3 linked regions of the Nothobranchius furzeri genome follow. The protein of the gene in region 1 interacts with the protein of each later gene in a pairwise test. Links are inferred from orthologs where the notes say so. Each region holds a gene or a part of one and is shown on either strand. Other genes may lie near its edges.

What was found.
Region 2: the proteins of tmem79b (region 1) and plp2b interact in binary tests that used the Homo sapiens proteins (3 or more experiments, as listed by UniProt). The two-hybrid records come from large-scale screens. The link is inferred for Nothobranchius furzeri from reciprocal best matches to the Homo sapiens genes TMEM79 and PLP2.
Region 3: the proteins of tmem79b (region 1) and sec22a interact in binary tests that used the Homo sapiens proteins (3 or more experiments, as listed by UniProt). The two-hybrid records come from large-scale screens. The link is inferred for Nothobranchius furzeri from reciprocal best matches to the Homo sapiens genes TMEM79 and SEC22A.

What each region holds. Positions count from the first base shown.
Region 1 is NC_091745.1:66,345,904-66,349,557, reverse strand, and holds part of tmem79b (transmembrane protein 79), read right to left. Parts: intron 1,295-3,654; coding exon 739-1,294; intron 171-738; coding exon 1-170.
Region 2 is NC_091755.1:41,892,485-41,895,762, forward strand, and holds the end of plp2b (proteolipid protein 2b), read right to left. Parts: intron 1,638-3,278; coding exon 1,541-1,637; intron 1,469-1,540; coding exon 1,455-1,468; 3' UTR 602-1,454; downstream 1-601. UniProt on the Homo sapiens protein: May play a role in cell differentiation in the intestinal epithelium.
Region 3 is NC_091754.1:31,841,833-31,846,152, reverse strand, and holds the start of sec22a (vesicle-trafficking protein SEC22a), read right to left. Parts: upstream 2,884-4,320; 5' UTR 2,748-2,883; intron 1-2,747. UniProt on the Homo sapiens protein: May be involved in vesicle transport between the ER and the Golgi complex.

The sequences.
Region 1 (3,654 bases):
CACAGAGCAACGCAGAGTGTAGACAAGCCTGAGGGGGGCGCTATCAAGCAGAGGTGCATCAAACGGCAGGAAGACAAACCCGCCCCACACCAGAAATGGGAAAAACAGCGCTGATGTCATCAAGGAGACGCCCATTTTCAGGGCATCTCGGTCAGGGCAACCACAGTCACCTGAAATGGGTAAAACAGTGTCAGCAAGCCCCACCAGATAGGTAAAACATATAGAAACTGAGACCAAGTTTGGACTTAATAATTTAACACATTCAAATTCTTTAAATAATTTATCTATTTAGTCGCATCATTTTCGGCCCTCTGTCTGCATTAGTCAAGATAAACTAAGAACACTGTGCTCTTAATTTATCTTCCGTTTGAGGAACAGCAGCAACTTTTTCTCTAGGCTGAATTCCATATTCAACGACAAAAATGATAAACCAGCCTCATAAAAATATGTCAACTACTACAAATTAAATGTAGTTCAGGTTTTAAGGCTACCTTTTTCTTAGTGTCGGCTGAATTTAGGTCACTGCTAGCTAATTACACAAACAATCGGACAGAATTCCCGGTTTTCCCTACTTCTGGTAGGTGTAGCCGTTCACAAAATCAAATCAAGTAGTTTTTAAATGTCATTTCAAATGTTCATGACATCCAGCTGAATCAATAAATAGATATAAAAAAAAACAATGGAACAATGACAGAAAGGCCAATAGGCCAATCGGTGAAAAAAAGCAGGTACACTTACACTTGGCAGGGGGCGCGTCCTCGGCAAATTGATCTTGGTAGCCATGTTGGCTGTAGTTGTCTCCATGAGGACTCAGAAAGGGACTCCTCTCTGATTCCCAGACTTCCTCAGTGTCTCTGGATGACAAGGGGCAGGGGAGGACAGTTACAGATGGACTGAAGACCAGAGCTGCTTTTCCTGGCAGGTGGTTCTCTTCAGCTTCCTCCTTTTTTCCCAACTCCTCACCTTTAAGCTCCTCCTCCTCTCCCCCTCCCCCCCTTTTTCCTTGTTCTGTCTTCAGCTGTCGCTCACTTTCTGTCCAACTAGATGCCTCGCGAAGAGATGAATCGGACCTCACACTCATCCCGTCACCTTTAACCTTCTGTCCTCCCATCTGTCCTGCCTGTCTCTCTGTTTGCCCATCTGTCTTATGGTCTCCAGGCCACTGCTGGGTACTCTGTTCCATCGTGTTTGACATCTTTGCTTTGTCTTCTCCTCCAGGTTCTGTCCCCCCACTGTCTTCCATCTTGGTATCCCCTGCCAAGGGATGATCATGTGTCAGCCGAGACATCTCCATCTGTCCAAGGAAACAGAAGACAGTCTCCCTTATAACCAGGTAGCAGAAAGACCAACATCTCTGACCTTTTCCATATGGATGTGAATAAAACAGGAAGCACCTCTAACATCAGTTTATTTCAGTGGTGAGTTTTTGACTGTTTTACAAAATAAAATCAGACGGATTTTTGTGTGAACAGACTTTTTAACGTAAACCATCATCAGTAAGACAACCAAGAAAATTGGTCAAAAATTTGTAGTAAAAAAAACTTTTAGAAATCCTCTTAAATTTGACCCAGTGCCTAATTTTGCAGCTTGATATTAGATCGTTCAAATTCTATCTGTACACTTTTAATTCAGAAAGCTGAAAAATCTACAAACATCCTGGGATCAGATCTCTGATGGGAGTTTTATTGGGATCATCATTTCCTCCTGTTATCTAAGGTCAGGTTATAGAGGCACCAGGACCAAGAGCAAAACCCAAACCCCAGATCGTAGTTGACATATTAAATTCCCACATCTATAAATGTATATACATTCGTTCATCCATTTTATCTGAGTGCAGGTTATGGGGCGGCAGCTCCAGCAGAGGAGCACACTGTTCTCTTCCCGGCAACTTCCACAAGCTCCAACGACAGTATCAAGACGATCCCTAGCCAACGTGCAGATACAATCCCTGGTTTGACTCAGGGGCCTCCTACTGGCACGACACAGGGGCGTAGGTTTGGCATGGATGGAGGTGATGTGTCCCCACCACCAATAATTTGACCTCCTCCACTAAAAAACAAGCCATTCAATGTCTCATTACCCTAGAGGTGCAGAGAGGGTTAACTGACGTTCTCTCCTCATATGACTAGTGTGATTGGCTGCGCGTGCCATCACGGGAGACTCACGTGAGACAAACTACGCTGGTTGTTAGCAGCACCAAAGCTTGAAGGAAAACGTACCAGTCAAATGCAAGACCCCTGTGTTTGCAATGAGACACACAAGGCCGAAAGTGAGTGTAACCAAAGGTCCTGAGAGGATGGTAGACTTACAAGTTTCCCCCAATGTCAAATCTATGCGAATGCCTGAAACGCCTACGCTAATGCCTGAAACGCCTCATGTGGCTCCTCTCGATGTAGAGGAGCAGCAGCTCTACTCTGACGCTCTCCTGAATGTCCGAGCTCTCCACCCTGTCTCTATGGCTGAGACTGGCCGCTTAACAGATTCCTCATATTTGCAATCTTGTTCTTTTAAGAATAAGAATGAGAATACCTTTATTAGTCCCTCAGTGGGGAAATTGCATTATTGCAATGGCTCAGGTACAGCAGGATAGCACACAAGATATCACACAAGAGTACATAGTGTAGCGTGATGAATTGCCCATCTTTGACCTAAAAGGCCCTGCTCTATTTGCTCTGCCCAAGCAGAAACACAAGTTTCTGACACAAGCCTAATCTACAAGATGTGGGCCAAGGCCACTCATACTCTGTGCTCTTATCTAAACTGTTACTTCCCCAGACAGCACAAGAACGAAAAAAGAAGAACTCTTTTAGAAAGAACTTTTCTCTTTAAATAATAATTAAATAACTTCTGTTAGTCCAAATAATCATGTGAAGCTAATGTTCAATCAATGTGTGAAATGAGAATATTGATATTATAATCCTATGATAAGTAATATAAATTTAAATATTTACACTAGACTGATCACACGTAATGTTAAGTCACATGACACATTTCCTTTTTCTGATCCAATCAGAACCTTCCAGATCTGACGCGAGGCGTGGTTTTGTTGGTGCTTGTTAAATCGTCTTTTGTGTCAAATTCTGATTCGACCATTAATCAAAACATCCACGTTATAAAACTATGCCCCACGTCATCTTAACTGGAGTTCCAAGCGTTCTAGAGAAGTTATCAGAGTGGCCAATCCGTAACTTTCCTCTTAAAGCCGAAATAACCTAACGACAAGCTGGATTAAATCTGTTGCATGTTCCACCTGCTGCAACGGTTCCTTTAGAATAAAAGCTGAACCATCACGACCCCCTTCAGGGTCTTGCTGATGCCAATAAACTGTTGTGACCTGGGAGTAACTCAAGACTGGAAGGGTCAGCAACCGCTGCATATCTACAGTCGTCGGTTCCAAGAGGGTCCAAGCTGGACCCCCGACATTCCAGATCTAAACGGGGACTTCCATTGGGGTACGTAGACTGACAGATGGCGTCTCAATGTGTGTTATAATCTCCAAACCAAAGCTTAGAGCGAAACACCATTTCACTCCCATCAGAACTAATCGTTTCTCTGGATTTGCTGGTTCTGAACATATTTCACACACAGACCAACCTCAGTCTTACTCCACCTTAGTTCATCATCACATAGTGTTTAAAGTTAGTCTTGTTTAAA
Region 2 (3,278 bases), on another chromosome or scaffold:
CCAGGAAGGACTTCCTGTCTTCTACTCCTGAGCCTCCAGCAACCCCAGAGCACATACCCACCTGTCATTATGAAACTAAACCTTTTTCAGAAAGACGTCACCACATGCCTGACAAAACCAGTAGCAAGGAGTTTTGAACTGATTTAGCTGCAATCACACCGTAGAGCACATCTGCACAGTTCCTCATCACGCTGCATGGAAACTTCAGCGAATACTTTCTGGGTTTTGATGACACTTGTCAGCTTCTCCAGTTTGCATCAGCCATCCCAGAATATTTCACTTTACTGAGTTAACAGTAGCTGATTACCAAACCTATTTCCAGACAGTTGTGCAGGAAAGCCACGTGTCTCTGAATGTTCCGTTTCACCTCACTGATGGAAGGTTTAACACCGGATGTGATGCAGTGATCTCTACGGGTGTCTGCAGAATTTTCTCATTATTATGAGGCTGGAAATGTTATTTTTTCAATTAAAGAACTGGATAACCACAAAGCAGCATTTAGTTTTCATAAGGACATGTTTACACACTGCCTGGTCAAAATAGGTCACACACATCAATATCTCATTATAAATGTATGGTAAAAGATTCACACACACACCTGTTTGTAGTAATAATGGCTTTATTTCTCAAAGCAAAGCTGATCTGAATTTTAAAATGACAAATTGTACACTTTTAAAATCTTATTAGAAAACAAAAGTCAGTCTAGGACAATTTTTTTCCTCCAAACGACCAACATAAGGGTTGAGGTGGAGGAAACAGTTGCAGCAATACTTTCTCATTACAGATTTTTCCTCGTCTACCTCCACAAAAACACCTCCCTTTACTAGAGTGGGTAGTACAAAAGATCAACAGAAACGCATCCTGCAGCTTCAAACCACCGTGTTACACATGTATGAAATAATAAATCATAACCTGAGCAAGAATCAGAGACGACACAAATGCCACCGCAATTCATGGGTTAACGATCGAAGGCCTCTATTAGTAAAACTGACGTCACGTCAAATGTTTAGGATTCAGGAATAAAACATAAAAACAGGCAGAATGAAAGAATTATGTGTGACTAAAGCAATAAACAGCAGAGTGAAATGCTGAACACCACTCTAATGTTTTAGTTACTACCAACTTAACAACTAGAGCAGGAAAATGTATTAGAGCAGCTTCCTGGTGACATCAGTCGCTCTCAGGTTACAATTTTTGGCGAATAACGAGGTTGGAATAAAAAATAACACCATCAGGAGGGAAATTCCTCCTGTAGAAGACATGTACAGTACGCTCACTTGGTCAGTGTGTCTGTTTTATGTTACGCTGAGGCATGGCCCTAAATACATCTCATGCATTCGCTCTGTACAGTTGCAATGATTAACCTTTGACCTGCTGGTCCAACATCGCCCCCGGGCCGCTCTCGAGACAGTGATGCAGGTGTGTTGGAGTCAGAGACTCGTGGATCAGACGGCTTAAACTTTGTCACCTGTGCAAACATGGAAAAAGAGGTTTAGACACTAGAAGGCAGATCTGCGTCGTGTCAGGGTGCTGAACCTACTGCTGGGAACTGCCGTTTGCTGTTCGCCGCTTCGGAGTTGCAGGTAGATGGTGTAGGTGTCATATGCATAAATGATGCCCGCAAACAAACCAAAGACCTATAAAACACACACACACACACACACACACACACACACACACACACACACACACACACACACACACACACACACACACACCTTAAAGGAGGTAAATGGAACACAAAAACCAAAGAAACATCTAGTGTGTACAGGTTGCAGTTGCAACAACAGAACGAGGTTTCCAGCCATCAGGAAAACCAGGTTCGCTGACGCTACGTGAAATGTTTTATTTGGGTCCATCTGTTGTAGGCTCCACCTTAACTTTTTCTGGTTTTAGATCTTTTACGGTCGCTCCTCTTCTGAAAAGAATAACGACATCTTCTGGGTTCAGAAGCAGCTGCTTGACTTGCCGAGTGCGCCATCTTCCACAGTGCCAGCCTCGCTGTGCCGAACGGACCATAGACATGAATACGTAGACTATACGTAGAGTTGTGCCTTTTCGGCGCTCGGACCAAGTCTTTGGAATGAGCTGCCAGCCGACGTAAAGCAGGCCAAATCACTGGAGACCGTTAAAAGCCGACTGAAAGCACATCTGTTCTCGTTGGCGTTTGGACACTGAAGCTGGGATTGCATGAGCAGCATCACTTTGAATGTGTCTGGATCTGATTCTGGAACAAGGACTGATATGGATTGCGAACTTGTACTCGGGATTTCTTATTGTATTTTAAATGGTTATATGTCTGTTTTATTGTTGTGCTTGTTATTGGTGTACAGCGCTTTGTTTGTCCGGTTTGGGCATGTGAAAGCGCTTTATAAATAAAGTTGATTTGATTTTGATTTGAAATCACGAGATACATGTGCATAGATCCATTTACACACACACAAATCTAGATACACACACATAGATCTTTTGAGACTTTTTTCTCCCCATAGTGGACCCCCCATTGGGCGCTGGAGAGCGTAACAGCCATATTGGATGGGTCTCCTCACTCCAAACTTAGCTGGGTGAGCAACTATGCCGGGTTCTGTGCAGCCTATGGTTGCAACAACCAGCATACAAATAAAAGATCACGTGGGATCACTAGTGACTTTTCTAGCCTTCCCGAGAGGATTTTAAATATTTATTTCGTTTTATATTAAAATGTTTATTTATCAGGTTATACCATGTGTCTGACTTTGTGAAAAAGTTTGATAAAATGTGCTTTTTAGTTGAGTAAGCACCATCCTCAGTAGAAATGAATGCACTGGGGGCAAATGGAGACCCATCTAAGATGGCGGCCAGCAACTACAGCAGCTCCAATAGGCAGCAGCAGTCGACGGGGCGTCTACATATTTGTGTCTGTGGAGCGTACGGTTTGGTAACCCACAACGGTGCGCTCTATTGGCTGGTAGATGTAAACATAAAACCAGTGTGGTGCCCATCCAAATACATATTTATTCCTTTAATTAAAAGTGAGCTTTTAAAGAAAATGCTGTACCTTCATTCTGCACACCTGTAAACGACCAGTGGAGGCATTCTTTTTTAAATATAGCTTTTTATTAAACTGTTCCATATATCTGTACAAAGCATATTATGGAGTTCTTTGCACAGAATCCCCCTCACATGTTTATCTCAGCAACTTTATTCTTCAAAAGTTTGAGTCGTTTCAGGGCTCTGTCACTTTAAGAAAGCAAGCCGCTTCTGGCCAATCCCTGATTGGCTGCTATGAAGTGAGTGGC
Region 3 (4,320 bases), on another chromosome or scaffold:
CTCCAGCTTCACTGGCTGCCAGTCAACTTCAGGGTTCATTTCAAGATCCTGGTTCTGGTCTATAGGGCCTTACATGGACAAGCACCATCTTACTTTGGTGATCTTCTTAGTCCCTACACCCCCAGCAGGTCCCTGAGGTCCAGTGATCAAAGCCTACTGGTTGTGCAGCACCAGGCTAAAGACCAAAGGTGACAGATCATTTGCTGCTCTGGCCCCCAGACTCTGGAACTCTCTCCCCCTGAGCCTGAGATCAGTGGACTCCTTTAAAAAGCAGCTGAAGACTCACCTGTTCAGGCTTTGGTGTGACCTTCACCACCATCCTCTCCTTATTCTGCTCTTTCTACCAACTCCGCCTTTCCCGGGATCTGCTGATTTGCCTCTTTCCCTCTCCTTGCATTTTTAATCACAAAAAAAAATGTTTTTTTTTCTCATTTTAACCATGACTTTAATCATTTTTTAAAATCTGTTTTATTATTTAGAATTTTCTGTTCTTGTGAAGTGCCTCATGATTTTCATCTTGCACTATATAAAATAAAATTTTCTTTCTTTCTTTCGCTCATGGTAAACAGGAGCTACATCCCTCCTTCCTTTGTTTTGAAAAGTGAAAAACTGACAATCCCCGCAGCCAGCTGGATTGGAAATATGTTTCAGTATAACCTTCCTTTCAAAAGGACTGAAACATTAGACTCTTCTCACTATAAAATTCTCACTATATTCTTACATATATGCTTTCATACTCACTGCATATCCAGTAGAGGTGTTAAGCTTTGGAATGGTTTAGATGACAACTTAAAGAGTGCTGCTAGTCTATTACTATTTAAAAGACAATATAAGATGTCTGTTATTGAGAAATATGGTGAGAATATGTGATGGAAAAGCTTCTTGGTTTTATTCTGACTATGTGTTGTTATATAAAAGAACAGTACAAAATATAAAATGAACAAAATATGCATGAAAGGTTCATTAACAAAACATTTACTGTCAAAAAGTCTAATATTGTAAATTGTATAATATTGTAATGTGGGGTAGGTGCACATAAGCTTCTTTGCTTCAGCCTACTCCATTTGAGCGTTGTTGTTGTAATGTTGTGAATTTTGAAAGAATACAACAAATGTAACTGCTCAATGAATGTGCTGAATAAATAAATATTGCACCTTTAAGGCAGATTCAGGTGATGTTCATTACACCAGTTTTCTATCATGGATGACCTTAAACACAATTATAGCTTTCTGAAGTATCAAATGTTAACTCTTCAATACTAGTTAAAATTTAACTTACTTGGATTTATCCATGCAGAGAGTTTATTTTTATTTTATTAGCATAAAAATTATGATCAACCTACATTTATTCACAAGTTTAAAAAAATCTGCATGGCCTAATACTTGTTTGTTATCTGACATGATTTTATCTGGGAGCTAATGCACAGCACACAAATGACCACAAGCAATTGTTTCATGTAAGGTGGATTTCTCAGTAGATCCTGACGCTGCTGGAGCGTCTTATTATTTAAAAAACTATTTAAAATATCTCCTAAAAAGAAATTATCGACTAAAACCATCTTGAAGTTGAACAAAGATTATTATTCCAGTGTGTGCAAGTGTGTGTGCTCTCTCTGAAGCTGCTGTTATCTCGTTTGCTTCAATTGCCGTCACACCAATTTGCATTAAAGAGCAAGTCACCCCCTACAAGCAACTTACTTCACTCCCTCTTCATGTTTGAAAAACGCAACAAATGCCGTTGCCTAGCAGACCGAGAGGGCGGAGCCGCTAACAAATACACACACACAGGCTCACAATGGCATTGTGACATCATAATGTACCAGTTTACATCATAGCATACCTCTTAGCCAATAGCGGTGGCAGATTTAAATTCAAATGCAGTGCAGAGTTTTTACCTGACAACGGCACAACACTGACAGTTTTAGGTAGAAAATTAAAATTTTAACTAAAAAGCACTAAAGTGCTAAACTATTGACTACACGTGTCTGCAGCACAATTAGACACACATTTATGTAGTTTATCAGAAAAAAAGTTGATTTGGGGGTGACTTGCTCTTTAAAAGAACTTTATTAATAAAGTTTAATTGAATGTTTTTGAATTTAACACCACCTTAAAATTATGGAACTTTAAGAAAGATTAATTATTCAATCATGGTTCGGTATTTATTTGGTCTTGAGTTTCTGTGCATTTCCGTTATTGCCCTGACATTAGAAGTTGAGAATCTTTAATTTTTTTTTTATTAAAGCTTATTTTAGAACCTGCTCATCCAAAGACAGGTTGAGTCAGAACCACGGACAGCTCCACGGATGAGCGAGGAGACGCAGAGGAAGTGATCTGACGCAATGCTAGCGCTTACATTCATTGTACTGGTGGCAAAGATAAAAACAGAAGTTCATGTCTGATTGAACGTTTCAATATTGAGATGAACTAAAACAAAATAAAACATCAAACTGTAGCGCTGATGTATACGCTAGCTAGCTATATCGCTGAACTTCTCTACCGGAAAATAACAACTTCCGTTATAACGTAAAACAGAGAAAATTACCTAGTTACACACACCAAAACCATACTATAAAAGGAAACAACTGCGTAAATATGTGAACTAAAACAAACTAATTAAAATCCAGATTAGCCAGCGAGCCACTGAAGAAGCTCACGTTAGCTTAGCTAAATCAAGCTAGTGAGATACCCAGTAGATACATTCTAGCAATTAAATAAAAGTGTTACTCATATCCAAATGGCACTCACAGCTAGGAAAAACTGGGCCCGTTATGAAGCAGCGAATATCTGCCGAAGGAGAGGAGCATCATGCAGATATCTGTTATGTAGAAACCTGAAAGTCTTGCAGGGAGCTGCCTGCAGCGATTGGTCACGTTTACGTGGCTGTACCGCTGTGCATTGTGGGTAAATGCACAGAACATAAACAAACGGAAACAAGTAAAGGGTAAAAAATGCCTTGTAGTGAGTTTTAATAAACGTTTAAGAATCTTTTTAAATAGTTATTATAAAATAATTTACCTGAGGGGAAAAAAACAATTTTAGTGGACCAGGAAACGCCTCACCAGTCTCTATGACCTCTAATAAACATGTCTGTTTCACTAAAAAGGAGAATGTGATAGATATAGAGTTCATCATTGACAGCATTAGCTTGATGTAAGGATGTAAACTGTAGATTTATCATGGTAACTGTTGCAGGGGAAGATCTAGAAAAATTTAAATGGTGGTGTTGGGGGTGGTGCAAAAAATCTTGGCAGGATGGGAGTCATTCTCCATTAGGGTAAGTGACTAGCCTAGAAACCTTGATAAACTGCAGCAGAAGCAAGAGATTTTGCTTTGCAGGTTGGTCTAGCCATGCTCCATTATAGCCCCAGGCCCAAGCAGGTCTGCCATTGCCCGAACAATTTGAAGTCAGGCCACTCACAGCACTCCGTGTTGGGTGGACTTAGCAGAAAAATCATCAAGATGGTGTTGAACAGATAGAAGTGCTTGATTGATTTATTTAGAAAAATTATGCATTTTCTTCTTCGTTGACTGTGTATGGTGGACTGCCCTGTTGATGTTGTCGCTCATTGCTCTGATTGATTTACGCTCTGTCCAACTGCGCACAAAGACAGTTTGAAATACCACCATAGGTTCCGACCCTTCGGGTCATGCAGAGGCACCGCCAGGGATTTTGGGCCCCATGAAAAAAATAAATAAATCACATTGGGTCCTTTCACCAAAGAACATAAGCAAGGGCATCAGTTTGTTTTATAAAGATGCCAGGGATAGTGATATTAATTAACTTCAGCACAAAAACTGCAGACGTTTCATTAAAGTATGCACTGCAGTGCATTGACAGGTTTTCAAAATTGCCTTAATAATCAATTAAAAAACCTGAAAACTCGAGTTCAAACCAGCAACCTACCATTTGCAGGGGGATTGATTACTAAACCCCTGGGACACGTGTAGATGGGTGAAGATGAGTCTTTCTATAGTCTTCATCAGGTGGGAGGTCAAAGCGACTAGTCTATAGTGGTCTGGTTCCCTGGGATGTGATGTTTTGGGAACTGGAACCACACAGGAGGTCTTTCGCAGGATGAGGATCTGCTCCAGAAGAAGTCTCAGGTTGAGCATTCACAAAGCTGGTCAGTACAGTCTCTGAGGCAGATCCAGTCAGTTCCATCTAGGTTTGTCTTAATTTTAATTATTAAACTGAAAGAGTCTTACACTTAATTTCACTTAACCTTGAACTAGCACAGGCTTGTAAAACAACATTTTTAAAGGATAATTTTGCATAAAAATCACCTTCTTCTGGAAAAACATTCTGAGACTGGATTGG